Alligator mississippiensis: one gene and its partner. The protein of the gene in region 1 interacts with the protein of each later gene in a biochemical or structural test. Links are inferred from orthologs where the notes say so. Each region holds a gene or a part of one and is shown in the gene's direction. Other genes may lie near its edges.

Region 1 (16,760 bases):
CCTGGACCTTTTCAGCCTCCGCAGGAGAAGGTTGAGAGGCGACCTTGTGGCTGCCTATAAGTTCATCACAGGGGCACAGAAGGGAGTTGGTGAGGTTTTATTCACCAAGGCGCCCCCGGGGGTTACAAGAAATAATGGCCACAAGCTAGCAGAGAGCAGATTTAGACTGGACATTAGGAAGAACTTCTTCACAGTTCGAGTGGCCAAGGTCTGGAACGGGCTCCCAAGGGAGGTGGTGCTCTCCCCTACCCTGGGGGTCTTCAAGAGGAGGTTAGATATGAGTATCTAGCTGGGGTCATCTAGACCCAGCACTCTTTCCTGCCCAGGGCAGGGGGTCGGACTCGATGATCTATTGAGGTCCCTTCCGACCCTAACATCTATGAATCTATGAAGATGGCCTGCAGGTCTGTGAAACAGAAGAGACATGTTACCAGAAGGAGCAATGGGCTCAAGATGCAGCAAGGGAAGTTGAGGTTGGATATTAAGAAAAATTTTCTCACGAGGAGGGTGGTGAAGCACTGGAACAGTTACCCAGAGAGGTGGTGGACTCTCCATCCTTGGAAATTTTTAAGCCCTGGCTAGACCAAGCCTTGGCTGGGATGATGTAGTTGGGGCTGTCCTGCTTGGAGCAGGGGTTTGGACTGGATGTGACCTCCTGAGGTCCCGTCCACCCTCATTTTCTATGATTCTATGATATTGACTATTGAAGCCCATTACAGATTCCACTTTACAGATGGGAAAACAAAGGCAGGGAGAAGACAAGTGACTCACCCAGAGTGATATAGTGAGGCTGTGACACAGAGCTGTAGTTTGCCCACTGCATAGCATACTCCTCCTTCACATCGGTATTTAACATGAATAGAAATTTCCTTGAGAAAGTGCCACGAGGCAGGACGTTGTGATTGCATTGGAGAATCTCTTATGGGTATTTCCTGTACAAGTCCACCAAAGGCATCTGTTCGCAGCCCACACGAGGCTGTGGTTGGAAACAGACATTGATCTATCCACTGCACTGCACGAGGCTATAGAAAACAGGATGTACTGTATGCTGGGAAACACCACATATGCATGGGATTGAAATTTGTGTCCTAGTGTGTAGGTGGCAGAGTCGGTCAGGCTTTTGGGATTTCCTCGCCTCTGAGTGCTCGTCTGTGAAATCTCGTTAAACAGAGGAACAGTCTAGGGTGGTGCATGTGTCCCTGTGCGTGGCTAAGAAAAGGAGAAAAATCCTGCACCGCCACCCTTGCGAGGTCCGGAGGAGGGAGACCCTCCAGTCTGCCCCAGTGGATGCTCAGACAATCCTGACACAGCCTCTGTATACATGGGCGGATCTAGGATTTTAAGAAAGGGAGTGCAGAAGGTGAGGGGCATCGTCACATGTAAAAACACCCATTTTTCTTCAGTTATAAAGAAACTAGAAGCATTACTAATACACTGAAAGTGGAACAAGCCATCCAGGTGGCCAGGAGGTGAGACAGAAAGTGCTCCATGGGATGAGATGCGGCGTGGCCTGAATGAGGCAGGGCTCCACACTCGGAAAGCAGTGGATCATGGTGACATGTGCATGGCCTGCTGAATCCGTTTGTGGATGTTTCGCAAGGCCAATTTGAGAGCAACAGCTTGTCGTAAGTTTAATGGATCCAGGTGTTGTCTGAGTTGGAGTTCAAGTTTACAGCTTGCTGCTTTCTTCTTCCTCGCTTTGCTTCCCTCCTCTGGATCAAAGCCGCTTCTTGTTGAGCTGCCCCCATGCCCCAAGTTCCCCCCATACCAAACGGGATCCTGCACAATCAGGATCCAGCTTTCTATGTTGATGTTGAACGACTTCATATCATTTTTGCACATGTCGTGGTACAGCCGCAAAGGGCAACTCCACTTTCTCTTGAATCTCACTGCACAAAATAGTCTTGGGGATACCGTTTCTTCCCATTCTCCTGATATGGCTGATCCATCACAACCCCCTCTTCTTGATAGCAGCTTCTAAGCGTGTCAGTCCTGCGTGCTCCAGTACCTCTGTGTTTGGTATTCTGTCTTCCCAACTTTATTTTCAGGATGTTACGCAGACATCTCATATAGAAGCTGTTCAGTCTCTTGATGTGCCTAACATCTATCTCACATGTATCTTGATGGGCCTAGCATTTGGTCTCAAATATGTGTAGTGTATGTGGTCCTTGTTTCTGAACAATAAAGCAGGGATAACAGCAGACCAGTCTCATAGATTTGCATTTGCACCTTAGTTAATAGTTTGCTTTAACCCAAACATGTTTCTGTTTAGCTGCTTGTCTGATTCTGTTAGTCAAAATAACATGCATATTAAAATGCCCCACGAAATGAGTCGGGACACTACTAGCTGCAGAGCACTGGATTGTGCCCACCGTGTCTAAAGTGTGAATGGTGGGGTACACACTTACCCAGTCTGCCTGCAATCCATACGCTGGACTTGCTGTGTAGCGGCAGGGCTGTTCTGATATAGGAGGCGGATGGGAAAAGAAAAGAGGCCGCTGCAGAATAGGTCAGATCACACCCACGCAGAGCCTCTCCTCTCTCCTGCTGCAATAACATGGAAAGACAATTCAGCATAATACTTCTCCGAATCAGGGCCAGGGAGCTCCTGGTCCCTCTGGGCGGATGCGGCAGCCTCAAGTGTCTGTCGTGCACACATCAGAAATAAGGAATGTGCTCTGAACAGTGCGGGGGATTAACTGCTGGAACAAACTACCCTGGGGCAGACAGGGCTTCCTCAGCCAAGCCATCAAGCTGGGCTGCAGGGTGGACTGGGGGACTTTGCAGCTTGGAGGAGGCAGGGGATTCAATCCCGTCAGCTTTCAGAAATGACTTGTGTTCGCTTGGTTGAGGTGTAATTTTGTGCTCTCATCAGGCACCACAAAATGAACCTTCTGGTTGCTTTTATTTTGGAACAGCGACATCTCCTGCCCACTCTGGTCCATGACAAGAACATTATCTCCAGGTGACATTGCAGAGGGCTGCAGCCTCAGAAGCGCTGAGCCCGCTGATATCCATGAGGTTTGCGGGTGCTCGGTAGGTGCATCTACATGAGATGCTTACTGCGCAGTAACCTAAGAACACCAGGCAATAGTGTGCCGGTCAAAAACCATGCTAAGAAGCTACTGGACAGTGTTATCAGGCTACTGTGCAATAAGCGTCATGAAAAAACTGCACCGACATTACTGTGCAGTAACTATAGTTACTGCGTATTTAGTTAGTACCTCATTAAGCATGTACTGAACTACACGAGCAGTAATGAACATGTAGACGCGCCCAGTGTCTGTGAGAGACAAGCCCGCTCCACCCAGAGCAGGATGGGACCTTAGTTACTGTGGCCTTGCACAGCAAACTCCCTGCAGCACGTTTTGATTGGAGGGCTGAGACCCTGTGCCAGGATCTCAACCTGTGATCCCTCCCAGCATTGCACGCTTGGTCTTTAGACCCCACTCTGCAGCTGCTTCTCTTATCCTAGAAGTATCTCGGGCTGGGCATTTGGTGTAGTTACCTAAAAAAACAGCCGTTGCAAATCACCCTTCCCCAGTACGGGGTATGGGGCCTGCGCTAACACATTGTGAGACGGGACATTTGCGGCAATGCCCCAAAGGGGAAAAAAGGGGGTGGGGGAGAGGAAGGGGCAGGAAACTGTGATAATGAAGAACATAAAGAAGTTTGGGGGGGAAAATAACCATGATTTATCCCACTGCCCACTCCAAGCTGCAAAGTGCCCCGGTGAAGGGAAGCAAGCAGCAGCAAACAGCAGTTCCAGAAGCATCTCCACTTCCCGGGGCAAAGACCGGGCAAAGCAGATCCGGCAGGGACAGGACTTAATTGAGACTGCTACCATCTTCCACAAGGCCCCGCGCAACCATCAGAGAGCCACTGTTGCTGGAACCAAGTTGGGCTTTGAACAGGGATTTAATCATTCAAGTTGGTGAGCTCCATGCTCCTTCCCAATCCTTGCTGAGGCCAGATCTCCGTTGTCCTGGCTTTATTCTGCTTCCCCAGCAAACCTCACAGGGAATATCCGTATCTGAACTTTCTTTAGCTCCAGACTCCCTGCCATACACCACCACTTGCCCATTTAGAGCTAAATCCAGAGCAATTCATGCATTTAATTAGCTGATGCAACCGCTCTGCCTTGCACATGTGTATTTCTCTGGCATGTCAGGAGCTCTGCAAGTATTTTGTGGGAGTTTGTATCTAGATCCTCATACAACCCATCTAAGTCCCAACAAGCAGAAAGTACCCATCTTATCAAGGTCTAGTTTCAGCAGCTTTGCTTAGGAAGGTGAAAGATATAGAAAACAGAACAGATCAACACACAAACTAATGCAGCAGACTTCTCTGAAAAGTCGTGCTTGAGACTGAGATCATATTCCCCCCATAGCAAAGTCTCCTACTAAGCAGACAGCTCCATCTATATCTGAATTACTTGCGTGTCCCCCAGCATTCTTGCAGAAATAAACCTCCTCCACTAGGCTGGGGCTGCTATCTAGGCTGCCTACTCCAGGGGAAAAGTGGAAGTTGGCCCCACAAACCTGTTCTGTGGGAGAAAAAGGAAGTAGAAAGAGACCTTCCCCTTTACTGTCTGTGGTAACTTCCATTTTATGGCATCTTCTGTCGCACGGTGATATTTCTGCAGTCACACAAGGCCCAAATCCTGGTAGGTGCCACTGAGGTTCATGGGTCTGCTGAAGTGACTGAGGCAAGATCAAAATCAAGGCAAGCAGGATCTGACCCCTAAAAGTAGTCTGGGTCTGATTGTCCTGTACCAGCCCACACCTTGAGAAGTCATTTATGCCTGGGCAAAGCGATGCAAAGACGAGTATAATGCCTTACATGCACTTTCCACAGAGATAAAGTGCTCTGATTTCCACAGTGGAATCGGGTCATTCTGAACAGATCCGCTGTGCTGCTGAAGCGCTGCGCTGAGCAGGGAGGGAGGTGAACCTACGCTTCCTTGAATCGAGGCCTCAATAACCAGGTGGCAAAATACCGGACCCTACGTCTCTATTTCTTTCTTGCTCAGATCTTACAAAGTGCTGGCTACTTATAACTTCCATTCTTCATCCCTCACATGGGAGAGGGAAAGGCCTGGGACAGTCCCTGCTCCAAGGACTTCAACTTTTGTATGACAAAAATGGGGTCCGTATCTTCATCTTTGTGTGCTTTGGCGTTTTCGTCCATTCAGGAGCTCTTGGCCGTCACGGATGTTACCAGGGATCGCTATGTGGTCGAGTCCCCTTCGAGGACTGTTTGCATGGGAACCCAGGTCTCCCCTGTCCTAGGGCTTAAGTCATCTCCACCTTGCTTTTCTCTGGCCCAAGAAATCTGGAATTTCTTTTTTGCAAAGCAGCTCAGCCTGATCAGGAAAAGCAGTATATACAACAGGATGAGATAGGAAGCAGAGGAGGGTAGCATAAAGCACACAGGGACATCAACGAGGCAGAACATGACAACAAAAATGCAGAGCTAGAAAGGTCCTCAAGAGAGTATCCAGTCCAGGCCCCTACACTAGATCCAGTAGATCTAGGCATACATTGGCTGGGATACTGGGGTGTACACTGCTTAGCATGCACAAGTGGTTGGGTCCTTTGTTCCTATCTTCTTCGGAAAGGAAAAGTACTAGCAGCAGCATGTCCCCTAGCAGCCGGTTAGGGCGCTGGTTGGTTTCTGATTCAATTGAAAACCGCCAAGCCCTGGCTCACTAGCACCACAAGCATCTTTGAAGATCCCCAACTCACTCCTGTTCAGTGTGCAAGAACTAACAGGAAGCCTGGTGTGAGACTGTAGGCCTCACAGCACACTCATATTAACGATGTGACATGGGGATTTTTTGGAACCAGAATGGGTTTCAGGCTCTGATAGTTGCAATGCTGTGAGCACTAAGCTTGCGGAGGAAAGGACACAGTATTCAGTCAGCTGAAGCCCACACTGTGTTCGTAGATCTTCCCCTTCCAGCTCCTTTGCACTGTGTTTGACTGGGTCTTCTTTGAAGGTCTTTACAGTAACACATGAGGATGTTTTATTTTACAGCTTACGGGTTAAACCGTGGCAGAGGAAACCCAGCCTCTCTCCTGAGGTGCGACCATGCTCGGAACAGAACGATCAAGATCAAAAAGACCTCGATGATTTTGGAAAGAAACGAAGCAACAAAGACGAGAACTTCCTCTGCAGAGCTGCAGCGTTACCTCGCATCTCGGAGGTGGAGGGCAGGCTGCGCAAGCACGTTCCCACAGTTATTTCCAAGCTGGCTTCCACCGTGCAGTTTGCTGCGTCCACATCGGTCCTTCCTGATTGCCAAACCTGAAGGCACACCAAGGGCTTTTGGTCACCAGGCTCTTTCTGATGGCCGAAAGGATGCATTTTGACGTATATAGCACTTTGCACCCCAAAGACAGCGTGCTTGCTGTGAGGTTTAAATGGCGACAGAGTCACTGCTGTAAAAAGCATGCTCCTTCCGTGTCTACCACTAGCTCCCTTTTCTCCCCGAGATCAGTCCCAGCCGCTTGTCCACCATTTTAAGGCCTTTCACGACCCATCTCCGACTTAATCCTCCCATCTAACAGCGCTATTGAGGCACCGATCCTTGTCTCCCCTTCGTCATCCACCTCAGCCCTGACTCTGCATTTGTCAAATGTGCCAGCAAGTCACTTGGCACTGTTTTCCCAAGCTACCTAAGCGAGGGAAGATTCGCTTAGATATGAAGAAGTTTTTCTAATATCTTCATATCTAAACTTCCTCAATAGGAGGGTGGTGAAGTACTGGAACAGGGTCGATATCCATCCGTCGAGGTTTTTAAGACCTGGGTAGACAAAGCCTTGGCTGGGAAGATGTATTTAGCGGCGGTCCTACTCTTGAGCAAGGGGTTGGACTGGAGATGCCTCTGAGGAAGGTTTAAAAACACCCTGACACGTTGTTTGGGATGATGTAATTGGGGCTGGTCCTGCTCTGAACAGGGTGTTGCACTCGATGTCTATTGCCCTCATTGCCTACGAGACGTTTGGGAGCAACCGCGTGATGTTCGCGACCTCCTCGGTTGCACGCGCCTCCGTTCGCCGCATCCGCCCCGGCTTCTTGTCGCGATAGCAAGCGCTTTAGAAGAAAGACCACGTCTCGTCCGGGAGGAGAGCGGCGCTTCCCGCGCGCAGCCCCTTCGCGTCTCCGCGGTCTCTGGGTGCCGCCGGCCGCTGTTACGTAATAACGGCGCTACTTTTTTTTTGGGAGGGAAATTGCGGGACGGACGCTGTCGAGTCCTCGGGTGCCATCTGCTGGAGAAACGGAAAGAAAACGTCAGGCGAGCGATGGATTCGGTCGCACCCGGCAAGGAAAGAAACTTCTTTATGACGTCCTGCCGGTGTGCGGGGGGGGGGGGGGGGGGGGGGGGGCTGCGCGTGCTTATGGCGCTTCGCAAAAGAAAGGTGACCGCGTCCCGGCCACCACGGTGGACAGTGTCCTGCGTCACATGTGCTCACCACAGGGGGGGGGGTGTCTCCCTCCCCCACCATGAACCCCTGCCCCCCCACATACTTCCCCTCCTCCACTGGGGCACCCCCCCACCCCCATCCCCCCTGGAAATTGCCCCCCCACTCCCCCCTCAAGGTCTCTGCCCCTCCCCCCAACCCCAGGTAAGCCCCCCCCCACATACCTCCCCTCCCCCCCTCAGAAATAACCCCCCCATTCACCCTTCCCCCTCAAGGTCACTGCCCCTCCCCCCACCATAGAGACCCCCCCCCCCTTCCGGGAATCCCCCTCCCCCACATACCTCCCCTCAGAAATTGTCCCCCCATCACCCTTCAGCGGCTGTGGCCCCGCCCCGCCTCTTGGCCCCTCCCCCCGGCGCGGCCCGCTCTCCCCTCAGAGGCGGGCTCGCGGCCGCCATCTTGGAAACGGGCACGCGGCCTGCCGGGCTGCCCCCGGGGCGGGGCCGTGCGAGAGAGTATTGATAGGGCAATGGGGACGGGGAGGGGGGGGCGCTGCCCGCTTCCAAGATGGCGGCGGCCGCGTCAGGGAAGGGGCGGGGCGAGGCGCGCTACGGCGGCGGGGCGGGGTCAGCGCGGCTTGGCGGGAGCGGGAACCGCTCAGACCCGCGCACCCGGCCCGGCCTGAGACGCCGCCATGCACGTCATCAAGCGAGGTGCGCCCCCTCCCCCCCCCGCTAGACCCTGGGGGGGGGGGGGGGCGAGTGGGGCAGCCCGGGTCCCTGGGGGGCTGGGGGTGAATGGGGTGGGGGGTATCCCAGGGGGTTAACGGGGGTTGTGGGGGGTTCATGGGGGTTGGGGTGGGTGTCCTGATGGGGTCTGGGGGGAGGGGTATCCCAGGGGGTTAACGGGGGTTGTCCTGGGGGCTTAACAGGGGGTTGGGGGTGTCTTGGGGGGCTGATGGGGGTGGGGGTGCTGTCCTGATGGGGTCTGGGGGTGTCTTGGGGGGCTGATGGGGGTGGGGGGCTGTCCTGATGGGGTCTGGGGGTGTCTTGGGGGGCTGATGGGGGTGGGGGGCTGTCCTGATGGGGTCTGGGGGTGTCTTGGGGGGCTGATGGGGGTGGGGGGTTGTCCTGATGGGGTCTGGGGGTGTCTTGGGGGGCTGATGGGGGTGGGGGGCTGTCCTGATGGGGTCTGGGGGTGTCTTGGGGGGCTGATGGGGGTTGGGGTGCTGTCCTGATGGGGTCTGGGGGTGTCTTGGGGGGTTGATGGGGGTGGGGGGCAGTGTCTGGGGTGGGGGGGGGAGTTGTGGGGTGCCAGGGCATTGGACTGGTTCCAGGTAGTTGATGGGGTGGGGGGCACTGGGGTGGGGGGGTGTCACGCCGTGCTGCATTCGGAGCAGCGTGTGCTAGCGCCCGTCTGGGCGCGTGTCTGTCTCTTCCCCGGCGCCGCGCAGATGGACGCCACGAGCGCGTCATGTTCGACAAGATCACGTCCCGCATCCAGAAGCTCTGCTACGGGCTCAACGCCGACTTCGTCGATCCTGTGAGTCTGCTGGTCGTACCCCTCCCTCCATCCCTCCCTCCCGCGGTTGTTATAGACAATAATTTGCTGTTAGAAATTTGCCCCCTGGCTTTGCCTCGGTTAGCCTGCATGGAAATGGGTGGAAAGCACCTTATAAGCGACCGCGGTGCTGTGCCAGATTTGGGGGATCTTGTCGCGGTGCCTCGTGCCTGTCCGCCACATCTAACTGTTCGTCTCTAGAGCGCTGATCCTCAACCAGGACGCTGGGCCGTGACACGCTGGGTTAGCACGGCAGACACGACTCCCAAAATCACCCGGGAGATTTCAAACAGGAATCCGTAGCGTGAAAAACATCCCGCCCTGTTGTGGGCTTGCTGAGCTCTTTGCAACAGGAGAATCGCCCTTGTTTTTTGTCTGTAGTCAAAAACGACAAAGGAAAATGAAGAGCTGCCCTTTTCTGAGGGGTCTGAAAACATTTAGGACCAACTATTCTAATGGAAATAGGGGTCCAGAAAATGCCACCCCGAGGGTACCAGTGACAGATGTCACCTGGTTAAGGCAACCACCTTGTCCTTTCTTTCCTTTCGTAGCCCAATCCTTCCACATGTTTGCGTTTTGGCTTGTTCTCCTCCATAGGTACAAAGTCTGAGAGGATACATCTATGTTTCCCTGCTATAAATTCCTTCTCGTGGGTCCCTCAGATGCGGCTTGAAGTTTCTGGTGCTAAAAAGCAGAAAAACAAGTTCCCTGCTACTCCATTTCAAATGTCTTATTTCCGTTTGTTAAAATGGTGTAACGAGTGCTTTAACCTTTAAAAATGTGTTTTTAAACTCCTGCCGCATTTGCCTCCGTGAATATGTGGAAGAGAAGCCCTTGAATTCTGTTATTAAAGTAAAAGGTATACCCTTTTTTTCCCCCCGAACTGAACCACCCTCTTATTAAGATATGTGCTCTGTTCTGAGCAGTTTGACACTGAAAAGACACTGACCTGATTCGGCAAAGTGCTCTGCCCTGTACCTGTGAGATCTGTGGGACCGTGCGAGCCCTCCCACGTGGAGCAAATTGCAGAATTAGAGGCCCCAGATCAGAGTCTTTTTGGGCCATAAAGGTCTTGTCTTTATGTGCATCTGTAAAGCACCATCATAGTAGCGGTGCTGTAGTAGCAGTGAGGGGATAATGTTCTTCAGCTTTATTGAACAAAGCTTTGCAAAGAGGACAGAGCCTCATTGACTCCTTTGTACATACAGCCCAGGAAACAGCTGTGTGCAGAGGTGAGCTGACTTGATTGCAGTCGTGCAGCAACTTGTTGGCAAAGCTGGGAATTGGGAGTCGAAGTCTCCGGACTTCTGGCCTGGTGTCCATATGACTATTAATAATACTGAAATTAATTTTCCGTGACTTTTTTATTCTGAGGTAGCTCTGAAGTTCTTTGTCCTGAACCATGGTCCTGTTAGGTTGGGTTTGGGACAAACTACAGCAGAAGAATACCTGTGCCTCAAAGAACTTGCAGTCTAATTCAGGGTTTGAAAATGCCAGCCTGTCCTACCCAGGGCAAGTGAGCATTTCAAACCTGCAGAGGACAATTCTTGCACTAGATCACACTCGTATTCGACCTGATTCTGAATCCTGTCTCATAAGAACATACATAGTGCCATACTGGGTCAGACCACAGGGTCCACCTAGCTCACTATCCTGTGTCTCACCGTGACTAAGAGTGGACGCTAAGGGAAAGGGTATTTAGGCTGATTCTTTCCAGACTGATCTGTCCCCTGCCTCTTTCCCCCTACAGATTCCAGCATTCAGAGAAAGGGTTGCAGCTTTAAATATTGTACTTAATACCCTCTATCTAGGATGCTGGTCTTGGATAGTATCCACCACCAGCTGCCTTGGAAGAAAACACTCTAAAGATGTTTGTGTGTCTAAACTCTAAAGATGTTTTTATTTCTGTTGTTAACCTCCACATTTCTGATTTCCCCAGGCTCAGATCACCATGAAAGTGATCCAAGGTCTTTACAGCGGTGTTACCACAGTAGAGCTGGATACACTGGCTGCGGAGACGGCTGCGACCCTGACTACCAAACACCCCGACTATGCCATCCTGGCAGCAAGGATCGCAGTCTCCAACTTGCACAAAGAAACCAAGAAAGTGTTTAGTGGTGAGTGCATGTTTGAGAGTGCTTCGAAACAGCCTGTGCTCTGTTCATGAGGAGGGAGTCAGAAACGGGTTGGGAGTGTAAATATGGCAAACCATTCCTTAAAGTGATTTGGGCCTGGGATGGCCAGACCTCCTCCTCTTCTAGCCATAAAACCAAGATCCTGACGCACCATGGAGCTGCAGGACACAGCTTCTGAGATGCGCATGCCTTGGAGTCAAGAGCACTTGGCTTGTTAGCAGGGTTGCTTTGAAAAGATTATATTCAAGCATTTCTGTGTTAAAATCAGAATGCCTTCACTTTCCTTGGCTTTTTCCCTCACTTTCAAAAATAAATAAGGGTGAGAAGAAAATACATTTAAATCATTTATATTACTTGTAGTCTGGTGCTTTCTGATAATGGCTGAGATAAGCGGGGAGCTATCTAACTACTACTGGATACTTTGTTTGTCTAGAGGTTCTTTTTTAAAAGTAAATTATTTTGGGACCAGCAGCTTCTGAGTACTGGATATTCTTGCCACTAGACAGAGAGGACAATAACCAGGTTGATGTCTGTTAGATGGTGTGCATGCATTTATGGAGGGGGTGGGGGATTGCTAAATAGAATCATAGAAAATCCATGAGGATTGGAAGGGACCTCAGGAGGTCACATCTAGTGCAGCCCTCCTGCTCAAAGCAGGATCAGCCCCAACAACATCATCCCAGACAAGGCTTTGTCTACCCGGGTCTTCAAAACCTCCAAGGATGGAGGCTCCACCACCTCTCTGGGTAACCAGTGCTTCACCACTCTCCCAGTGAGAAGATTTTTTCCTAATATCTAACCTAAACTTCCCTTGCTGTAACTTGAGACCATTGCTTCTTGTATATTAAATACCTGTAATTAGTTTTAGACTGTACATATTTTTGGCTTTATTTTGACCGTCTGTTTGTATTTCCATTGCAGATGTGATGGACGATCTATACAACTATATAAACCCTCACAATGGCAAGCACTCCCCAATGATCTCCAAGGAAACGCTAGACATAGTCTTGGCCAACAAAGATGTATGTTGCACTTCATTGAATTTAAAGATCTGAAGAATCAGTAAACTAGTTTAAAAGGCTTAAAACAAAATAAACTGGGTTGATTTCTGGAACAAAAATCCCTTTATGCTGATGGAAATTAACATAGATGATGACTGCTGTATTTTGAAGGGTTTGTAGGGGAGGCCACTTCAGAGCTGCCCTTGAAGGATGCTTCCAGTGTTGCTATAAGCAGGATATCTGTTGTGGTTTTGGTATGGCTCTCATCACTCTGGGATTGGGGCATGTGGGATCTACAATTAGTTGGACAGAAAATGGCTTTTTAACTTAATAAAATAAGATTCCATCTTTTCATACAACAAACTTTCAAGGAAAGAGATGGTGTTTGGTCTCTATCTTCTGGCACAGCTCTAACCAACTCCATGAAACCAGAATTAGGGTGCAGTTCTCCCACCCCCTGCATTTCCTAGTATCCAGCTTGAGCTCTAACTGGAATGTAGGTGTATGGATGAGATGGGCCAGAAGGTAGTAGTTTGTCTTTAGAGAAATGTTATTAATGCCTGGCAAAAGAAATTGAGATTTTATGCTAAGAATGACTTCTCTAAATTTTTTTTCTGCCTGGTGCCTATATCTGTTCAGTTATGAGGCCAGAAGCAGAAAAATCAGGGGCACTGAACAATGAGAGCACTGTGGTATCAGTAATGTGAGACTGCAGGCATGATGAGCGGTACAGATGATCTCCTGATTAAATGATTAATCTGTCTCCATACTCTCTCTTCCTCAGCGCCTGAACTCTGCTATCATCTACGACAGAGATTTCTCCTACAACTACTTTGGCTTTAAGGTAAAGAGCAGGTTTCTTACAAGAGTGAATCTACGCCGTTGTTTATTTTCAAGCCATGTAACCACCGAAGAGTAAGACCCCGCAGAACCATCACTTCAGAAACTCAGCCCTGGGATAGATGAGACAGTGGGACTGTGGTAGAGACAACGTCCTGTATAAGGCAGTAGCCAAAGTGAATGAGTTGTGCCCTTTTCCTGGTTGTGCATTACAGTCTCAATGCAGTCAATATGGTGCCCCCCCTCAGTCCTTCGAGTATATGATTGGTTAGCATGGGGACAGAAGGGATTGACAGCAGAACCATTTCAGGAGGGAGCAAGCCTTCTGCCATAGTACACCCAAGAGTATGGTTGCTATCCTGTGCTGTGGGCAGCTGTCAAATGGAGCTCTGGGCAGTAACTCAGCTTTGCAGCATTTCTTTGTGCGTGCTGCCCTCTGTCCTGCTTCTGTTCCGCAGCGCTGCACTTGCATGTGAATCAGCCACTTCTTTTTGAATTACCTGGCAACAGGAGACAGGCCCAGCATAACCTGAAGCTACTGTGAGGGAATGTGGGGGAAGGGGTTTTAGTGGGGAGCATGTAACCGAGCAGCAGGCTGACGACAGTTGCACGCCTGAGCATCTATTTGTGATGACTCCAGAGCCTACTTGCCAAATGGCTTCTCTCCTATAACAGGAAAAATGCGGTTGTTCTTGATGACGAAATTCAGTTCTCTTGGCTGGGGTGACTGTAGTTGATCCCAGTTTAGGGCTGCAGCCCCTTTGGCTCCTGGCTGCCATGTGTAGTAAGACATGGTCAGTAGGATCTTGTGCAAAGCTGTCCACAGCCATCTGCTGCCATGTTAATGCTAAAAAAAATAACCAAAACCCAAATAGATCAGTTCTTAGCATTCTCCATTGCTCAGCACAGCCTCCTCTGCCTGCCTTATCACTCACTGGTGCCTTTTTCCATGCTGCTGCTGAGAGGATCCCACCCCAGCTCTGCCTTGTCTTCAGCTGTTTTGACAAGTACCTCTCTAAAACACTTCTAAGAGTGGCCCAATTTTATATTATTTCCAGCTGATGAACTTGCCTTTTCCCCCACTCCTCATTATAGAATGAACATGATTTGTGCCACCATTGCATTGTACATGTTCAGACAGTGCCCAACATTGGCCAACTGCTAGCACTCCTGTGACAAATGTAATGACGGGATTGGAAAAACCACCTGGAGGGGTGGAGCGGAGAACCAAGCACTCTTTCCCCCTAGCAAAACTGGGCTGAAATTAGGCAATAAAGCTCACCGTTCAGTCATTCCTTTACATGCATTCAGCTGGAGAGACTCCTCTAGGCAGGCATCTTGCTGACTTGCACTTAAAGTACCTCCTATGCTTGGGTTTGAATCGGGTAAAAGACGGAAGAGCAGAGTAGGCGTTAGCAGGTGTTGAAGTCTGGGGGCAGGAAGGCTGAGCTGCAGGTGTTTGGTTGGTCCCAGAACATGAGTTTTAATCAGTCAGGTTTTTAAATGGGGACCTAAACTATTGGTTACTGAAGGATTTTTCTTTTTCGTTTCTTTTTTATAAAGACTCTCGAGCGCTCCTATCTGCTGAAAATCAATTCAAAAGGTAAGAACTGGCTGTGGTTCCAATCTCCCCTCTGTGGAGAGTGGGATCAGAGCAGGTGGTGAAATGGGGTCAGGCCATGTCCTTGCTGCTTGCTGAATACTCAGCTGTACGTTGGCCTTCAAAGGCAGCACCCACACAGCACCCTTATAGTTACCTTGTCAGCATTATAAAGCTTTGCCTTTCCCTCCTTGCTTTGCGCATGCACATATCCTTCCTGAGCACCTGTTGGTAAAATCAGTTAGAATCGCTTTTTTCATAGCTGTAAGGATACTTGCAACTGCACTAAGAATGCAGCACTGTTACCAGCTGCTAAAACCACTTGAGTTTGGTTTGTTTTGTTTTAAATAATGTCCGTGGGGTTTCAGCGAGGGACACTTCACTGATGCAGCATTTGGGCCCCGTTGCCATGCCATACTTGAGATCTTAGGGCACACAAGGCACTGTTCTAGCAGGCTGATAGCGACTCGCCACTTGATGTGTGGGAATTTTTAAATTGACATGGCTACCGCACCATCTTATGCTGCAAATTCCATTGGCATCAAGGTGGTGAGAAGTTTATTATTATATGTAGAATCTAGAAAGTGCCTAGCCTTGGAGTCTGACAAATTTAATATAGATTACAAAAAACTTGTAAACCTACAGCTAGTGATTCAGCTTGCCAAGAACTTTTTCCAACTACTCAGTTGGTCTAATAAAAGATATTGCATCTACTCAAAGAACCTTGCCTTGGTAGTGTAAGTCACTTACTTCTTTGGCATAACCCATGCCTGTCCAGGTGGCTTTAAATGACACACTGTTCTATCTCTTTTTTTTTTCTTCTCCCCTTCTACTTTCTAGTTGCAGAGCGTCCCCAGCACATGCTAATGAGGGTCTCTGTGGGCATCCACAAAAACGACATTGATGCCTCAATTGAAACCTACAATCTCTTGTCTGAAAAGTGGTTTACCCACGCCTCTCCCACTTTATTCAACGCGGGCACCAACCGGCCTCAGCTCTCCAGGTACCTCAGGGTGTCCAGCTTGCTTTATACTAGGGATGTCAAATACCATTAGCCCTTTGAGCTGGATCTGGACTGACCTGGTTGCTGGGCAAGTAGCGACAGCAGCAAAGCGAGCAACATCAAGGAGTCGCAAAGGTTAACACAGCTATTGCTCACCCTTCTGCCAACGTGTGACCCCAGTGGTGCTTTGTATACCAGAACTGAGCAGCAGGCCTTGTGTCCAAATTTCCGGCCCCTTTTGGAGCTGTGTGGGCCAAATGATAGGGCTCCGCAGGCCATATCCAGCTCATGGGCTCTCTCTTTGACATCCCTGTCTTATAAAGTATTCTGAAGAGTGAGAAATAGGTGTGCAGGGAAGCGTGTTCTACTCAAGTGAGGTATTCTGTCATCGCTTTTAATATGGGCAGCTGCATTTCGTCAGTGCGTAATTAATATGTAACTTGTGCAGTAAAGAATTTTTCAAAGCATGCTGTCTAGTCTAATTGGGTTCCAAATGTAGCCTTTTAAAAAAGCCAGCTGCTGTCAAAGCCTAAGACTAATAGACATGTTTTTGCAATTCATTCCCTTAATTCCAGAGGAACCGTGGTTTACACGCTCATATTTTTGCAGTGTATGAGAGCCTGAAAGTGAAACTGACCTGAACCAAAAATGAAATTCATTCTGGCTATTAGCTATCCATTGTCCAAGCTATGACACTAAAGTCACAAACATACGTGATGAGAAATAGGTGTGATTTTAAAAAATGTCTTGCTTTAATAATCCAAGTGATGAGGAGTGCAGGTAAAAAAAAAATCAGCTTTACTTTAAGGAAAAAAATAGTTACCCTATTGGAAGTGTGTAACTTCCCTGAAATGTGGGCTTTGTTTTACTGTGCAAGTTGCATAGTGTTCTTTGCGTCACTTACCCAGTCATTGAAATATTAAAGATTGCAAAGTGTCTGTCTGCTGCATAGGGCCTTATTCAGTCTGTGTTTTAATCTTCTGGTGTCTCCATTCAGCTGTTTTCTGCTGTGCATGAAGGACGACAGTATTGAGGGAATCTATGACACCTTGAAGCACTGTGCGCTGATTTCCAAGTCTGCAGGGGGAATTGGCCTGGCGGTGAGCTGCATCCGCGCCACTGGCAGCTACATTGCGGGGGTAAGTGTTGCAGCTGGCATGTCCTGCCAAAGTCAGCCTTCCTATCCTGGGAAAT
Region 2 (15,892 bases), about 450 Mb from region 1:
GAGCTATTTGATCCTGTTTCCTCTTTCCTTTGTATGCATACTGCTTATTTCCTTGCTCTGATTAAAGATCTGACAGTTACCAGTCACAAATTTCACCTCCCACAGCCCCTACTTGGTCTAATATTTCCCAGATTCCTTTCAGTTTGGTTTCTCCAATAAGTTGCTGCCCCACCACATTTGGTGACATCCACAACCCCAGTCCACCCTGTAATACATATTCTGTGGTAGTATCTACAATGTGCTTGAGGACAGGACAGGGAAGGACCACTTTTTAATCATGATTGACTCTACACCAAAGAAGCATCAAGCAAAGAAAAGCCTAATGCAGCTGCCCAGAGTGCAAAGGGGATTTTGTTGGCAATTTATAGTGCCAAAAGAGCCCCTGTTGAAGCCCAAAGAGGCTTCAACCTGGAGTAAATTAACTTGACTTCAGTTGAGCTGTTACTTGTCCACTGGGGACAGGGCAGAAGTAGAACCCAGGATTAAGCTGTACAGAAATCACTGTGTTGGATCTGACACAAGGTCTGTTTAGTTCATTATCCTGTTTGTAGTCATGCCTAGCATGAGGTGCTCCAGAGACTGGTGCAAGGAAATACAGTACACACCAGACAGAAATGAGCTAATCTGTCTATCATGTTTGTCTCCTCCTGTAGCCTTGTTTAAACTTAGTTTTACCACTCAGCTGTACTGATATAATAGAAATACAACCCTCCCCACAAGAATGTGGACTTGGCCACATATTTTGGCAAACTGTATTCCTGAATCAGAAAGGGACTTGCAGGAGTTGCATTGGTATAAGTGTTTAGTTTAAAAAAAAATCATATCCTTGTCAAAATAGGAGAAACCCTGTGTGTAGATCAGGCTTGACATCTTGTTGGCTTTTTGTGACGATCAGTTTGTTCTGAAGCAAGAGCTTTACTGAATGCTCCACAGTTATGCCCAGGTCTCATTTTTTAAACAGATGCCATTTATTTAGGACCCTGCAAGGTCTATGAGTCATTTGTATCTTTCCCTCCTAAATGAATTACTTGGACTTAATCAGCACTGAACTTCATCTGCATCTAGCAAAGTGTTGCTTCTTGAAGATAGAGGACTGACTGCTTCCAAATCAGTCTGATAAAGCACGGATGCAGGCAATCTGAAAGATCTCCACAGACCATTTTCTGAGGGCTACTTAGTTATACAACACCTCACAGCTGCCTCAGTCTTGCACTCCCAGGCTGCTGCTGTTTTCACAACTCTGCACACCTGAATCCCTATGAATAGGGGAACTGTAAAATGATTTACAGAGGCAGAACATAGGACCAGATGTTCAAGAGCTCAGCACTCACGTTTGTGGCCAGATTTCCAGAGAAGCTTAGCTACTGAACAGAGAAAATATGGATCTGTAAAAGTGCAAGCCCCCTGGCAGCTCCTGTGCTGACATTTATTGCCAGATTTTTCAAAAAGGGCTCTGTGTCCCTGTGGGCTGAGCATTTACTTTGGTGTCCAAATGAAAGCTGAATTCTTCTGAAATGTCTGGTTCTAGCCACAGATGGTAGCCTTCATTTGAAAATGTTTGTCATAGTCAAAGGTGGTGGGGAGCTGCTTTGCACCTTGCGTAGTGGCTGTGCCCAGGGCAGTGCTGGCTGCCGTGATACTGGTGGTGGTGGTGGCATGTCCAGTCACTGCTGTGGTGGCTGCTATTTTTATGGCCCCTTCCTCCATTCAAAGGCATTCCCTGGGGCTGCTGACCTGGCTTTCCCTGTGATTTATGCTACTGGCCATAGCATGTGGTTGCACTGAACAGAGAGTAAGTGCTCTAGGTCAAGATTAAAATGAAAGTCTTCTCCCCCTTGAGAACTACACAATAGGTAGTCTTATGGATGGAGCTGTGTCTGCATTATGGGGACATAGCAGCCCTAGGTGGCATTTGGCACGATTCTGTGAGCTTTGTGATCTCCGTGGTCTTGGAACATGACAGAGAATACACTTCGATGCAGACTTTCCCTTCAGCATATAAACACTAGACTGCATTGTCTGACTGCACTGTCTGACTGAATTCAATAAAAACCAAGCTCTGTTGGCTCAGGCTGTGAAAAGACCACATCTCGTACCCGGCTTTGCTCTTCTAGCAGAAGGTAGTTTTGTCAGCACCATGGCTGTCATTTGGGGGAGCTGGTATAGCTATTGCAGCAGAAAAAAACTCCTGCCAGCAGCAGTGCATCAATAGCAGGGGACTGGGTTGCCATAGCATCACATCTGATGAAGTGAACTTGAGTTCGTGAAAGCTTATGCTCTATATGTAGCTTATTTAGTTAGTATATAAGGTGCATGGCTACCCTGCCTTCTGCCATAGCACCATCACCATAACTTTTTTTGTATGACAAAAAGTGTCAGCATCTTAATCTTGGTGTGCTTCGGTGTTTTTATCCATGTGGGAGCTCTTGGCCATCAGAGATATTACCAGGGATCGCCACATGGAAGTGGCTCTCGTTGACTCCCATCACCATAACTAAAGCAGCAGGAGAGTCCTGTGTATAGATAGAGCTTGCACTTTTATTCTCCTGCAGAGACAGCTCTGACAATTGCAGACTGTGGCAGCACTGTAACCTCATCACTGAGGCTGCAGTCCTCCCCCATAACTGGGTTGTTTGTTTTCCTCCTCACTGCTGTCCAGAGTTTGGGAAACTATTGCCCTTGATGCCCTTGATTTTGGAGGTGTGCCAGCCAATGAGTGATGGCAAGCAGCAATGCTTTGGATGTAGCTAAGACTGTCTGTAAGCTTCCTGGCACAAAGGTGGCAGGGTGGGTTAGAGCTGCATGCACTGCAGTGGGTAGCAGTAGATAGTGTGAAAAGGGTGAGGCTGTGTATATGTTATGCAATATTCTCATGTGAAATTGTAAATTGGTTTGAGATTCCTGGAATCACTGGGCTTGGGGGGGCGGGGAATATTGTAACCACAAACTTCAATTAAAACTGAAGTCATGTACTTGCTGGGCTGGGGGGAGGGATGGGAAGGGATGACTCTTTGGTTTCACCACCGATACCAAGCTGCCTAGTGACCCTGTTGCTTGTCATGACTACAAAAATCAAGCTGTTGGCTCTCTTTCGCTTTCTTCAAACTGTTTTATGTGTAAAAAGGCTGAGGCCCCGCTGTCCATGGATCCAGCTGCTCACTTAGCTCCCTTTGTTTCTTAAACTATTTGTCTGGTGGCTCCAGTATTGTGAAAGAGGTGTCATAAAGGGTGTATGGTTATAGACATAACCCTGTGAGTACTGAGGGCTCTCTACTCCTATTGACTTCTTTGGGCATTTAGGATTCTGAGCACTTCGTAGCAGTCACACAAGCCAATGCAGAATTGGGCCTAAGGCTTGTGGGTCTATGTTAAGAAAGTGCTTAAGAACCTGTATTTAGGTCAGATGGAAGCCAGTAATGTTTAAGCCATTCTACCCATATAGATACTTATTGTCAGCATTAAGCACTTAAGCACATTCTTGATTTTAACAAACTGAGGGCTGTATGAGCCAAATTCATTGCTGCTGTAACCCTTTGGTAACCCGCTGTAACCCTTTGGTGACACAATGGAGGGCGTTTCCTGACATATGTCATTTCAGTGATCAAAAACACACATGTATGTATGTTTAACCTTGCTACTGTATCACTCTAATACCTCTTAAATCCCAAAGTCCATATCTATCTATCTATCTATCTATCTATCTATCTATCTATCTATCTATCTATCTATCTATCTATCTATCTATCTAAGTCTTCTCTGAATCTATCTATAATTATGTTCATTTGGGACGTTTGTTGGAGGATTGACGCATCTCTTTCATCATATTTGGAAACAGTGACAGACCACATCCTCTCAAAGGTTATTCATTTTTAATACTGCAAGTTGTCATGACTAAACTCTTTTGAGTTGGGGGAGGAGGGGGAGTCGGAGAGAGGAAAATGTCACTTTTTGAATAACAAAGGCAATATATATTTTGTAAAACAATGCTTCACAAGCTTCTAAGTTCATTGGTAAACTGGTGATTGTGATAATTTTACTGGGTTATGTAAAGAAAGGAGAAGGGCCAGCAGAAGCTTGAATTCAATTTTAAGCTCTAGGCTAGGTTGTCTTATGTAGTTGTATAAGAACTGAAAAAGTATGCTTAAATTTTCCCTAAAGGAAGAAAAGAAGCATGCACCTGAAAAAATATGCTGCCTAGTGCATAGCATGTACCAGCTGTAATAGTGTCTCACACTAGTTGAACTGTCCTTTCAAGAGTGTGGGATGGTGCCATGCAATGTTAATACTGTTAGGTGTGTAAACATGATTCACAAGATAAACCCAGGTTTTTCAAAGAGAAATCCATAATGTTAAAAATATTCTGCCAAAACAGGGCGGAGGGTGGGGAAGGGGGTGGAGCAGGGTCAGACCTGAAGCATGGGGAAGGAGGGGTAATAGGGGGAGTGGGGTCAGACCCGAAGTGGCACCCAAAAAGCACCTTGTTCAAATTTGCAGATGAAACTAAGATGTGGGGAGAAGTGGGCACACTAGAAGGGAGGGACAGGCTGCAATTGGATCTGGACAGGTTACAGGGGTGGCAGATGAGAATAAGATGGGATTCAATAGTGCAGGTTACTGCACCGAGGGAGAAAGAGCCAGCAGCATACCTACAGGCTGGGGAACTCCCTTCTTGTCGGCACAGAGGCAGAAAAGGATCTTGGAGTCACTATTGACTCCAAGATGAACATGGGCCGCCAATTAGGGATGCAGTCAGGAAGGCTAACTGTACCTTGTCATGCATCCACAGATGCATCACAGGCAGGTCCAAGGTGATCCTCCCCCTCTATACGACGTTGGTCAGGCTGCAGTTGGAGTACTGCATTCAGTTCTGGGTGCTGCACTTCAGGAGGGATGTGGACAACATGGAGAGGGTCCAGAGGAGGGCCACTCGCATGGTCAGGGGGCAGCAGGGCAGGCCCTATGAGGAGAGGCTACGGACCTGAACCTGTTCAGCCTTCACAAGAGAAGGCTGAGAGGGGATCTGGTGGCTGTCTATAAACTGGCCAAGGGAGGCCAGCAGGCAATGGGAGAGTCCCTGTTCCCCGAGCACTACTGGGAGTAACAAGGAATAATGGCCATAAGTTGATGGAGATAGATGGAGATAGTTGATGGAGTAGATTCAGGCTAGATATCAGGAGGCACTACTTCACTGTCAGGACAGTTAGGATCTGGAACCAACTTCCAAGGGAAGTGGTGCTTGCTCCTACCCTGGGGGTCTTTAAAAGGAGGCTAGATAGACACCTTGCCAGGGTCTTTTGACCCCAGCATTCTTTCCTGCCCATGGCAGGGGGTCGGACTTGATGATCTGCTCAGGTCCCTTCCAACCCTACCAACTATGAAACTATGGACATGGGGCTTCTTCCCTGCCAGCTCCCTTTCCTCTATCATTCTTGATGGGCAGTTTGCTAGTTTAATAATAATACATTACCATCAATATTTATTACTCTTGCTCTGCATTGATATAAAATTCCTTGGCTTTGCCTATATTAGGGAAGTTCTACTGCTTCAGCTACAGCAGTGGTACTGAGGCAGTTTACTGTGTGGGTCTTTTAGCAGATGGGAGATTTTCTGCTGCCACAGCTACAGGAGTTCTCCCTGTGTAGAAGCTCTGTACATCCACACTGAGGCTGTATCTGCACTGCGGGTTTTGCTGGTGAAGTTATATTGGCTCCAGGACACCCTTAGCTGACGTAGTTCTGCTAGTAGAACATTGTGTGGCAACAAGGGTCTTGTCTGCAGCCTTCCAGGCTCTGCAAAGCTCTGCAGTTGGGACCTTTCCAACTACAGTTTATGCTCTGGCCGCTTCTCTGGCTGTCGTTTTCTTCTGCTTGTGATCACTTGCTCATTCTACCCTTTAATCCTTAACTTCCACAGTGTCACACTCCCTTGCTTCTGAGAAACCTCCATTGATAGTTGCCTTCAGTTCTTTATTTCTTTCTAACTATTTTCAGGTCTTTTTCCCTTTCTAGCAGCTGTCTGTTTAAAAAAAAAAAAAAGGGGGTGGGGAGGGATATGTGAAAGTGGTGTGTATATACACAGATGATCTTCCACCAAAACAAGTCTTCCCACCGGAAACAGCAATCAGATGGGAGGGAGGAGAATAGTGATTTTCTTCCATGCTCCAGCATAAACCCAACTTTTGATACCAAAATTTAAAAAGAAATTTGGAGTAGATGCCCTGATCCTGCAAAGATCAAAGCAGGTCTATCTTCTTCTTCAGCAATCCCTTGCAGTCTCAAGGATGATTGATTTCCATGATTGTTTTATCTGTGAATCTGAAGACGGCTGATGTGGCCAATCTAGGATTAACAGACTCTGTTGCAATTTGGGCATATCCTTCTGTGTAGGGTGGGTGGCTACAGATTCTTGATTCAGCCCATGACGCACTATTTATGCTGTTCCCTCTTTTCCACATCTATAACACATAGGGAATCTACTTTTAGACCCTCTAGGATGAAGTTAAGCACTTGCTTAAGTCTTTGGAAGATGTAAGCTGTTAATTCTCTCTTCCTCTTTGGCATACTTTGTTGGGTGTGAAATGGATGCCACTGTTTATATTAAATTAGGTCTTGAGCTAACCCCCAACTAAAATAAGGAAAACAGTTCTGTGAACTATTTCAGGCTGTGTGTACCTCAGCCAGGCCTCATCTTTGTGGGGAAAGTTGTTCTGGTATATCAGTATGTGTCTATGTGAAGAAACGACTGGTATAATTTTAGTGGTACACCTGCTGCACTATATTTACACTGGTGGAATATATGTAGCAGTTCCCAGCCTGAAATGATAGTACAGAACGCCGTGTGCATATCAATCGGGTCTTTTCTGCAGGGGAAATATTACACAGGTATAACATAAAGGGCTTGCCTACATGAGGATATGTACAGTATAATTATTCTGCTATAATTATACCAGTATAACTCCCTACATGGACATTCTTAGCTGGAATAAAAATATGTGCCTGGGCAGTCACAGCCATATAACTGTAGGGATATAATTATCCGAGTACATTTCCTCATGTAAGCAAGGCTTTTCAAATATATATTTAAAACAATATAGTTAAAACATTACAAATCCCTTGTGTAATCTAGGGATATAAGGATGATATAAGGAGGGCTTTTATTGTTTTAGCTTGAGTTAATTGGGAACAAATTTAAATGAAAAAAAAGACTGACTTGATCTACTCTTTAAATCATAATTCATTACAGGAACAGCACTGATTCAGTTGTAGTAGTTTAAAAGCAAATTTAAGTTAAACCCGTAAAACGTGCCCATCTTGACAAGGCTTTGGACATTCCTGCTTCAGTAACATTCACTCTGAAGGTTTTTCTTTTTTGCAACCACCCACACACACTTCTAGACTGCTGATTCTGAACCATCTACTAATTAAATATATTCTAATTGATGCCAGTACATACATCTCTTCTCTCACTGCCACCTTTTCATATAGTATTCTGTAGTCAGTCCTAGTTAAAAAAAAAAGGATGTAATTGTAATAGAAGTGATCCAGAAACCAGGAACAAAAATCATGAAACTTATGAAGAGATTTCAATAGGAGCTGGGAGAGGAGTCTTTAGGATTGTAGGCTGGAGAAACGATGAACAAGAAAGGATATGATAGCTTTGGAAAAAAAGCAAAACAAAAGTACATTTTTTGTCAATTCCAAAGGTTCAAAAATCCTGAGTTAGTCCTCCCCCCAGTCAGTGAGGTTTGTTTAAAAAAAACATATATTCATCTGCATAGTGATTTTTGAAGCCTCCCTGCTGCTCCTGTGTGTGATAATTAATTACTGTTTTTAGTGCTCCTAAATAAGGGGTTTTTTGTCCCTGCTATAAGAGGGCCAAACCACACATTGGTGTTGTCTCCCAGCAGCTCTTGGGGCTCTTCACCCTCACCTTTTCCCCAGGCTGGGAAGGGGGAAGCAATATACTATGTCCTCCCCGCCTTCCTACACTAGGTCCCATTCCTGTGCTTACTGGAGTGTGAAGGATTAGAGGATTCTTTCTTTTCCTTTGTGCTTATATTGTGGCCTCTTGAAGGCAGGGAGAGAGTACTTCCTGCAGGAGCTGTGTTGGCTGCTGTGAGAGGCTGTTTCCTCCCAAGCACCGCTGACATTTAGGTGTGGCTGGAACTTCTACTGTGGGAGACCTGCTCCTGCCCTGCCAAATTCGTGTGCAAAGAATGCACAAGAGCTGGCAACAATTGTGCACGGCCTCAAGCAGGGTCTCTCATTTTCCTTTACAAAGAACAGAAGGGCATTCAATGGGGAGGTAGGAGTTCTGAAGCATATAAAAGGAAACCTCTTCTTACACAGCCTGTGTTTATCAGTGGGAATCATTGCCACAGAATAGAATCAGCTCTTGCCTTGAGCAGGGGCCTGGAGTAGGTGACCTCATAAGGCCCCTTCTGGCCCTATTTTTGTATAATCCTGTGGTTTCAGACCCAGGGCACTCTCAGAAAATGCCAGCTCCTAGTTGTCACTCTTTTTTGACTTCAGAAAAATACTAGAGTATTAGAACAGCAAGACATTGGAATAGCCTGCCCAGAGAAGTTGTTGATTCTCCCATGAACGACTGGTGCCTCCTGAGACAGGGGGGCATCATTTGTAGGCAGTAGCATCGGCGGCGAGGGGGGAGGGAATGGGGTGGTGAGTGGTGATCACCCACAGAAGCTGGCAGCAGCCAATCTCAGGGGGGGCACATGTCCCCCCCCCCCCCAACGCATCGCCTATGGATTCTGTCACTGAAGGTCTTCAAGAAATTGGACAGCCACAGGGCCAGAGCTGATCGAGGCATAGCTATGCCTATATTTTACTGTGGGTATCTCCTCTACTTCTGAACTTTGCCCTGCCCTCCCCCAGCCCCCTTTCTGCTACATGTGTGGGGATGTTTTCAAGCCTCCCTCAGAGGCACTGGGTGTTGGCTACAGCCAAGGCTGGGGACTGTGGGGCGTGCCAATGCTCCTCCTGGGACCAAAGCCAGAGGTTCCTGGCTAGATGGTCTTGCCCCTCTGCTCATGGTCAGACCACTTACTGTATTTGGGGGCAGAAAGATTTTACCCCATAGTCAGACTGGCACAGACTGTGGGTTTTGGGGTTTTTTTAGCCTTAATTCAGAGGGGGGGGGGCAGGGGTCTGTACCCCAGATCTCTTTTGAGCATGTGCTGAAACACATGAAATACACTGAAATACTTCAACTAGATTGAAATAAATAGAAGTAGGATTTTGGCTGCCAGGGGTTCCCCTGCTTTACCTGCAGCAGGTGAGGGCATTAGTTTGTGTTGTGTCAGGGCTGAGCAGAGTTTAGATTATGACTTTATAGGATGGCTGGGATGGCGGTGATGTTGCCTCAGGCAGGGGGCCAGACTGGATGAGCTCTGGAGGTCCCCTCCACCCGACTTCTCTAGGACTTGATGAATTCTTCTGTTGCCAAGACCCCCAGAAAGCCCACAGCAGACGGATGGGCAGAACACGGATTCCTGTGTGCAATCTCCGGGTTTGCCTGGAGTTGTGTCTCTGCACCCGACCCCGCTACCAGCTTGTGGCATCGCAAGCCCCAGGCGCCGTCTAATCCCCGTGTGCTGGGGACCGGGACTGGGACGTGGACCCCTCCCAAGCTCCGCGCTGCGGGCCTGGCCGTGGGGGAGGGGCCATCCCGAGAGGCGACGCGCCAGAATTCGCGCGGGAAGGGGCCGCTTGCAGCTCCCGCGGTTGTTCTGTGCAGGGGGCGTGGCCAGGCCAGCAGCTCCGGCCAATGGCAGCGCGGAGGGGACGGGCTTGGCCCCTCTTCCCGCGTTCATGTACAATGGAGGGCGTGGCCCGGCGGCCACTCGGACCAATGGGAGCGCAGCTCTGAGGCCGGCTCGCGCTGCCATTGGTGGGCGCGGCGTTCGGGCGCCAAGTTCGAAGGGGGATATAAAGGGTCTCGGCCGCCGGCGCCAGTTCCTGCCCTGCGCCCTGTCACAGCCGCCGCCAGCAGCACTAGCATCATGATGCAGCCCGCCCGCGCCCCGCTCTCGGCCCGCAACGACCAGCCGCGCCTGTCGCCCATGAAGCACCTGGCGCTGAGCGACAAGGAGAACACGGTGAGTGCCTGCCCCAGGCCAGCCGGCTTCGGAGCCGCTGCCACCGCCCGCGCCCTGCTCATGCCCCGTTTCCCCTTCTCTCCCCGCAGCCACCGACGTTGAGCAGCACGCGGATCCTGGCCAGCCGCGCGGCGCGGAAGATCTTCCAGGACGCGGACGCCAAGCCGGTGAGTGCGCCCCCTCCCCACACGTGCTCCGTTCCCGCCAACCCCCCCCCCCACGTGCTGTTTTCCCGCCACTTCTCGCTGCCACGGCCCCCCGTGACCTTCCCCGCGTGTCCTGCAGGCGCCGCCGGAGCCCGTCCCGCACCGGCCGGAAGACGAGCCGCTGTTGCGGGAGAATCCGCGCCGCTTCGTCATCTTCCCCGTGCAGTACCACGACGTGTGGCAGATGTACAAGAAGGCTGAGGCCTCCTTCTGGACCGCCGAGGAGGTGAGTGCGGCCCGGGGCATCAGGCAGCTGCTCCCGGCAGTGGGGGCGGCAGCCGGGATCCCCACTCAACACAACTGGGCTCCTGATAGCACCTACCCAGGGACCAGACAATGGCTTTAAAGTAGCCCTGTGGCTTTAAAATGATCCCCATGGCAAAACCCGGGGGGCCGCAGGGGCTTGGAGGTCTCCAATACTTTGATCTGTGGGGTATCAAGCAAAGGAGGCTACCCTGTTGCTGTTCCTTCCAGGGTTCGCTTCTTGCACTCAGCTGGCTGCCTTGAATTTTTCATTTGAGAAGCGCTCAGGTGCATGCACCTGGTGTCTAGTTACATCTGTACATATACACATGCCTAGACACCAGCACCTGAGCACTTCTCAAGTGAAAAAAATTTAAGGTAGTTGGAAACTTCATTGCAACTTGCTATGGCTCTAGGGCAGGGGTGAATAAAATACAGCCTACAGGCTGGATCTGGCCTGTCAACTTATTGGATCCTGCCCATGGACAGGCATCCACCAATTCAGTTGTATCCAGCCTGGCTGCCCCCCACCCCTGCGGCCCTCTGTGTGGGGTGAGTCCTGCCCATTCCTTCCCCCCCACCCACCAGGCAGCACCATCCTAGCCAGTGTGCACAGTTTCACCCACAGAGCTGCTCCTGGTGTAGCTGCAGCTGCCTGGGTGCTGCTTGATTTCCCACCTATCTCCTCTTCCACCTGCCCCTGTACCATTTTGTGGGGATGCATGCTGGGCAGCAGATGCCCAGCCAGGTGTGGGGGAAGCTGCAGCCTGGTGGCTCCTGCCCCAGTGTGTAGGGCTTCATCTCCTAGCTGCCTTCCATCTACTTCAATTGCCTGGCACAATGAGCACCCTGCTAGGCAGCTGACTAGATGGAAGGCAACCTGGAGTTATAGTCCCACATGTTGGCATGGGAGCTGTAACTTCCCCCTTGCTGGCTACATGTGTGGTGCCTCACTGTTTGGAGCAGTGCAGCAGGAGGAAGAGCTGCTGGACATAGGGGGCAAGTAGCACTGGGAGCAGCCCTGCTGGGAAGCTGCGCACACAGACCTTGGCAGTGCTATTTGGCAGGTGGGAATGTGGCATGGGCTGCCCTGGGCAGGAGTAGGTGGGGCTTAGCCCCATGCAGAGTGCCACTGAGGCAGCCTAGTGGGGGAGGGGAGGGTGACGTGTCTGCAACCTGTCTGGACGAGCTCTGTTGCATGCCCTCCACACCCTACACTCGCCCCACATGCCTACTCCCTCACATGTCCCTGAAAGCTTGCAAATACTTTTTGCAAATATCCAGCTGGTCTAATAAGATATCACCTCTACCAAGAGTTCTTATTCCTTCTTGCTTGTAGACCAACACTGCTACAACTTGTACACCCCTCCCCCCCTCCCTTCACAGGCACCTGCATACCCCCCCCCACATACAAGAGTGAGACTGTTTTTGAGCTATACTTTTAGTACACATAGAGGTGATTGCATAATAAGTCAAGGCAAAAATATTTTTTTTTAATTAAAATTAAAGTGCAGTAGATGTTTGGTATTTAGGATCTGATCTGTTAACTTGTTAAAATGATATCGTCTGAAATATTTATGCAGCCTTTGACAGCTTACCAAAACTCATTAGGTGGCCATGCAACTGAAATAATTGCCCACCCCTGTTCTAGGATCACACCTCTAATTTCATAACTGTTTTTTGGGGGCGGGGATTATAGGTTGAAGGAAGACTGAGAATGGGACCTAATGGGTCTAATGCAATATATTAAACCCCAAACCCTATATTTTCCAATCATGACAATGATGAATTGCTGCCTGTTTGGTTTTTTTTGTTTGTTAGGTGGATCTTTCAAAAGATATTCAGCACTGGGAGTCCCTCAAGCCTGAGGAGAAATACTTCATATCGCATGTCCTAGCCTTCTTTGCAGCAAGTGATGGCATTGTAAATGAAAACTTGGTGAGTGTATGAAGAGCAGTCCTGTTTAAATCGTAAGCAGTTGGGCTAGCGTGGAGCTAACCAGATAACAACATAAGATGTTTACTAACGGACTGCTCTGCTCCAAAACCTATTAAACACTTCTGGGTTTGTTTGCTTTTTTTGGAAGGAGGCCTTGTTTTTTCCCTAAAGCCAGCATTGTTCCTTAGACTAGAATCTGCATTTTTGGCAGTAAACTTCCCTGATGAGTACAAAGCAGAGTTTTTGTTTTTCTTTTTTTTATAAAGAGAATACAAAGGGTTGGAGTAGATTGGGTTTTATTCTTCATTCGGTCACTAATTCTAGTTTGGCTTTTAGGCAGATCACTCAGTCTCCAGATCTCCTCCTTTTTAAAATGGAGGCACTTTTCTGGGACACAGAGCCAAAGGAATGCTGGTATTCTAACTTGTGTTACCAGAATAAGTTCTGAATATTGAACTATCCTGTCTTATTCCTAGTTATCGTGACTTACTTAAATATGCTTGTGTGGATTCATAGCTCTGTTGCAACCTGTAGTTGGTTGTTATTTCTATAAATGTTTAATTATTCGGTTTCTCCTTTAGGTGGAGCGTTTTAGCCAAGAAGTGCAGATCACAGAAGCTCGCTGTTTTTATGGCTTCCAGATTGCCATGGAAAACATTCATTCAGAAATGTACAGTCTGCTTATCGACACTTACATAAAAGATCCAAAAGACAGGTTAGTATCATATATCGTAAAAGGCTTAATTATTTTAAGTGGAGGCAAGAAAAGATGGAGAGGTCTGATTTTTTTGGAAGATAGTAAGTTAGGATGGTCAAAGCATTGGTAAACATGGTTGAGAACAATCTGGTGGTAGAGCAGGAAGGCAAAACATTATGCAAACAGAATTTGTCAAGTATAAATGACAAGCGATGGTAAGTTGAAGATGTAGGTAGAACGTTCAAACTATTTTGTTTATGCTGTAGAGGACTAAGCCTTCATTGCATTAGCCAGTGAACAGATAAATGACCCAGTACTGCGTTTCTTTGAGAACTACAACAGCTCTTTTGACTAAATCTCCACTTTGGTACTGCCTTTCAAGGTAACTGAAATATGTGACACTTTGCTGAACTATTTTTAAACCAGTAGTTTCTAATGCAACAAAGCACACATTCCTTTTTGACAGCAACATGTACATAAAGCTTAAAAACTGCCATCCAAAGAACAAGTTCCTTTTTGAAAACTGGTGATGTGGAAATGGGTTAGCTCCAAGACTATCAGTCTAAAAAGTATTACAGATTGAGCAATTAAAAAAAACAACAAAACAAAACCCCACAGCAACAACAAAAACAAAATCCCCCACAATTTTAAGGCTAATTTCAAAGCCATATTGCTGCCTTGTGTGAGGACTGACTGTTGCATTGAAAACCCTGGGTAAATGTGCTCAGTTGATCGGCCAGGATGACAGAGTTGGAGTGGTACAAAAATCTCAGCCCCCAAGGTCTTTACATTTAAAAATACATCAGCTGCAGGCAGTTAAAGCTGCTTCAGTGACAGCACTTTTAATGACAACTCTTAGCAAATGCTTATTGAATAGTCTGCCATGTAGACTTCTGTCTAATGTACTATACACTTTCTTCAGGGAATTTCTTTTCAATGCTATTGAAACTCTGCCATGTGTTAAAAAGAAAGCTGATTGGGCTTTGCGTTGGATTGGAGACAGAAAAGCAACATACGGTGAGTGCAGTTTTGGAGTATGCATTTCCTGGATATTGAATGTCATTCCCATGCAAGCCTTCAGTAGTGATGTTTCCTCCAAGCAGGGGTTGTCAACAGGGTATGTGTACCCCCAGGGGTACTTGAAGGCCCTAGGAGGTATGTGTAGACGGACGGCTGGGGACAGAGCGCTTGCCACCCATCATTCCACACTGCCGCCTCCCAGGAACAGGGATGAGGGCAGCGGCGCTCCTCTGTCCTCTGGCCTGCACAGGTACCAGCTGGACATGGGGAAAGAAGCTAGCATGTGGTGGCTGCTGCTGCTGCCACCCACCACCCTACACTGCCCCTGGTGGCTGGACATGGAGCCACTGGGGTACACTTTTTTTTTTAAATAAGTTGAAACCCCCTGTACTAGAGGGATAGTGTAGCCATGAAGGTCAAGAAAATAGCCAAAAAGTTGGTTTTTTGTGCTATCTTTTATTGGACCACCTGTGTCATCGGGAGAGATGTCAGACAGGCTTTTGGGCAATCATAGATAAATGGTGCTGGAAGGGAACTCTGAGGGTCATCTAGTCCAGCCATCCTGGCCAAAGCAGGATCATCCCTGGCGTCGGCATCCTTGTCAAGTGTTTGTCTAAGCTGCTTTTAAAAACTTCTAAGGATGGAGATGCCCACAGGCTCTGGGTAAACCTGCTTCAGTGGCTAACTTGCTTGCATAGTGAGAAATTTCTTTCTAGTCCTGTGCCCTGCAACCACAGAATAGTCCATCTTCTTCACCTATATAATCACCCTTAAGTTATTTGGGGGCTATCAAATCCCTCCTTGGTCTTCTCTTACCAGGACTAAATGTTAGCGGTTTTGTTTGTTTGTTTTTTGTTTTTGTTTTTTGTTTTAGTCTTTCCTGGTAAGTTGTTTCCCAGACCTCTGGTCACTACTGTTGCTCTCTTCTAGATTTTTTTTAATCTTGAGGGTGAATAATTGCTCTAAATCTTAAAAGTAGCTTTATCAAGATTAGATTAGATTAAATTACCTTTGTTCCTTCTAATGTGCCACTGAAGCAGCTCCTTTTGTGAGTGTTTGAGGGATTTTTTTGTTTGGTTTTTATTTTTTTTTTGGCATTTTGACTCCCATTTTGCTCCTTTGTGACAACCCTGCCATAGCTGCTGGTGTATTCAGCAGCTGCTCTGCAGGGGGTCTAGCTTTATTCCTCAACCAGTCTAGAAAGGGTGATTTTTTTTGCTTCCTTGAAGGATTTAATTCATGTTTTGTATGGGTTCTTGAGCTTCCCTCTACTTTCTTGTCACGTCTTTCCCCAGGAATACATCTTTCCTCAAAAGTTAGTTGGATGCTTTCATGCCTGTTGAGGTTCTCACTTGCAGGATGAGGATGTGTAATCACTAGAGACCACAAACACTATGCATGGTAGCAGTTTGGCCCACCTCAACACTGAGTTGTCAGCTATGCACATCGTGGGGAGGGGAGGAAAGGTCTGAGCTTCAGTTTCACAGGTTTTTCACACAGTGAAATTGCTATTTACCCAGGTAGATTATTTTAAATACTATCTGTCTTAGTGAAAAAACAAGGGGTTTTGTTGAATTTTTATTAGAGCAACTGTGGAGTTTAAATCTCTCTCAACAAGTTTTGGGTAGAAAGTTTTGTCTCTTTCCCAGATCTGGAAACAGCCACTTTGTG

The links.
Region 2: the proteins of RRM1 (region 1) and RRM2 form a complex in vitro, tested with the Homo sapiens proteins (3 studies listed by BioGRID and IntAct). The link is inferred for Alligator mississippiensis from reciprocal best matches to the Homo sapiens genes RRM1 and RRM2.

What each region holds. Positions count from the first base shown.
Region 1 is NC_081824.1:481,570,800-481,587,559, forward strand, and holds the start of RRM1 (ribonucleoside-diphosphate reductase large subunit), read left to right. Parts: upstream 1-8,030; 5' UTR 8,031-8,121; coding exon 8,122-8,140; intron 8,141-8,880; coding exon 8,881-8,969; intron 8,970-10,926; coding exon 10,927-11,104; intron 11,105-12,043; coding exon 12,044-12,144; intron 12,145-12,907; coding exon 12,908-12,967; intron 12,968-14,526; coding exon 14,527-14,566; intron 14,567-15,403; coding exon 15,404-15,566; intron 15,567-16,563; coding exon 16,564-16,705; intron 16,706-16,760. UniProt on the Homo sapiens protein: Provides the precursors necessary for DNA synthesis. Catalyzes the biosynthesis of deoxyribonucleotides from the corresponding ribonucleotides.
Region 2 is NC_081824.1:30,486,159-30,502,050, reverse strand, and holds the start of RRM2 (ribonucleoside-diphosphate reductase subunit M2), read left to right. Parts: upstream 1-9,968; 5' UTR 9,969-10,021; coding exon 10,022-10,117; intron 10,118-10,206; coding exon 10,207-10,284; intron 10,285-10,402; coding exon 10,403-10,549; intron 10,550-12,387; coding exon 12,388-12,504; intron 12,505-13,085; coding exon 13,086-13,219; intron 13,220-14,123; coding exon 14,124-14,218; intron 14,219-15,892. UniProt on the Homo sapiens protein: Provides the precursors necessary for DNA synthesis. Catalyzes the biosynthesis of deoxyribonucleotides from the corresponding ribonucleotides. Inhibits Wnt signaling.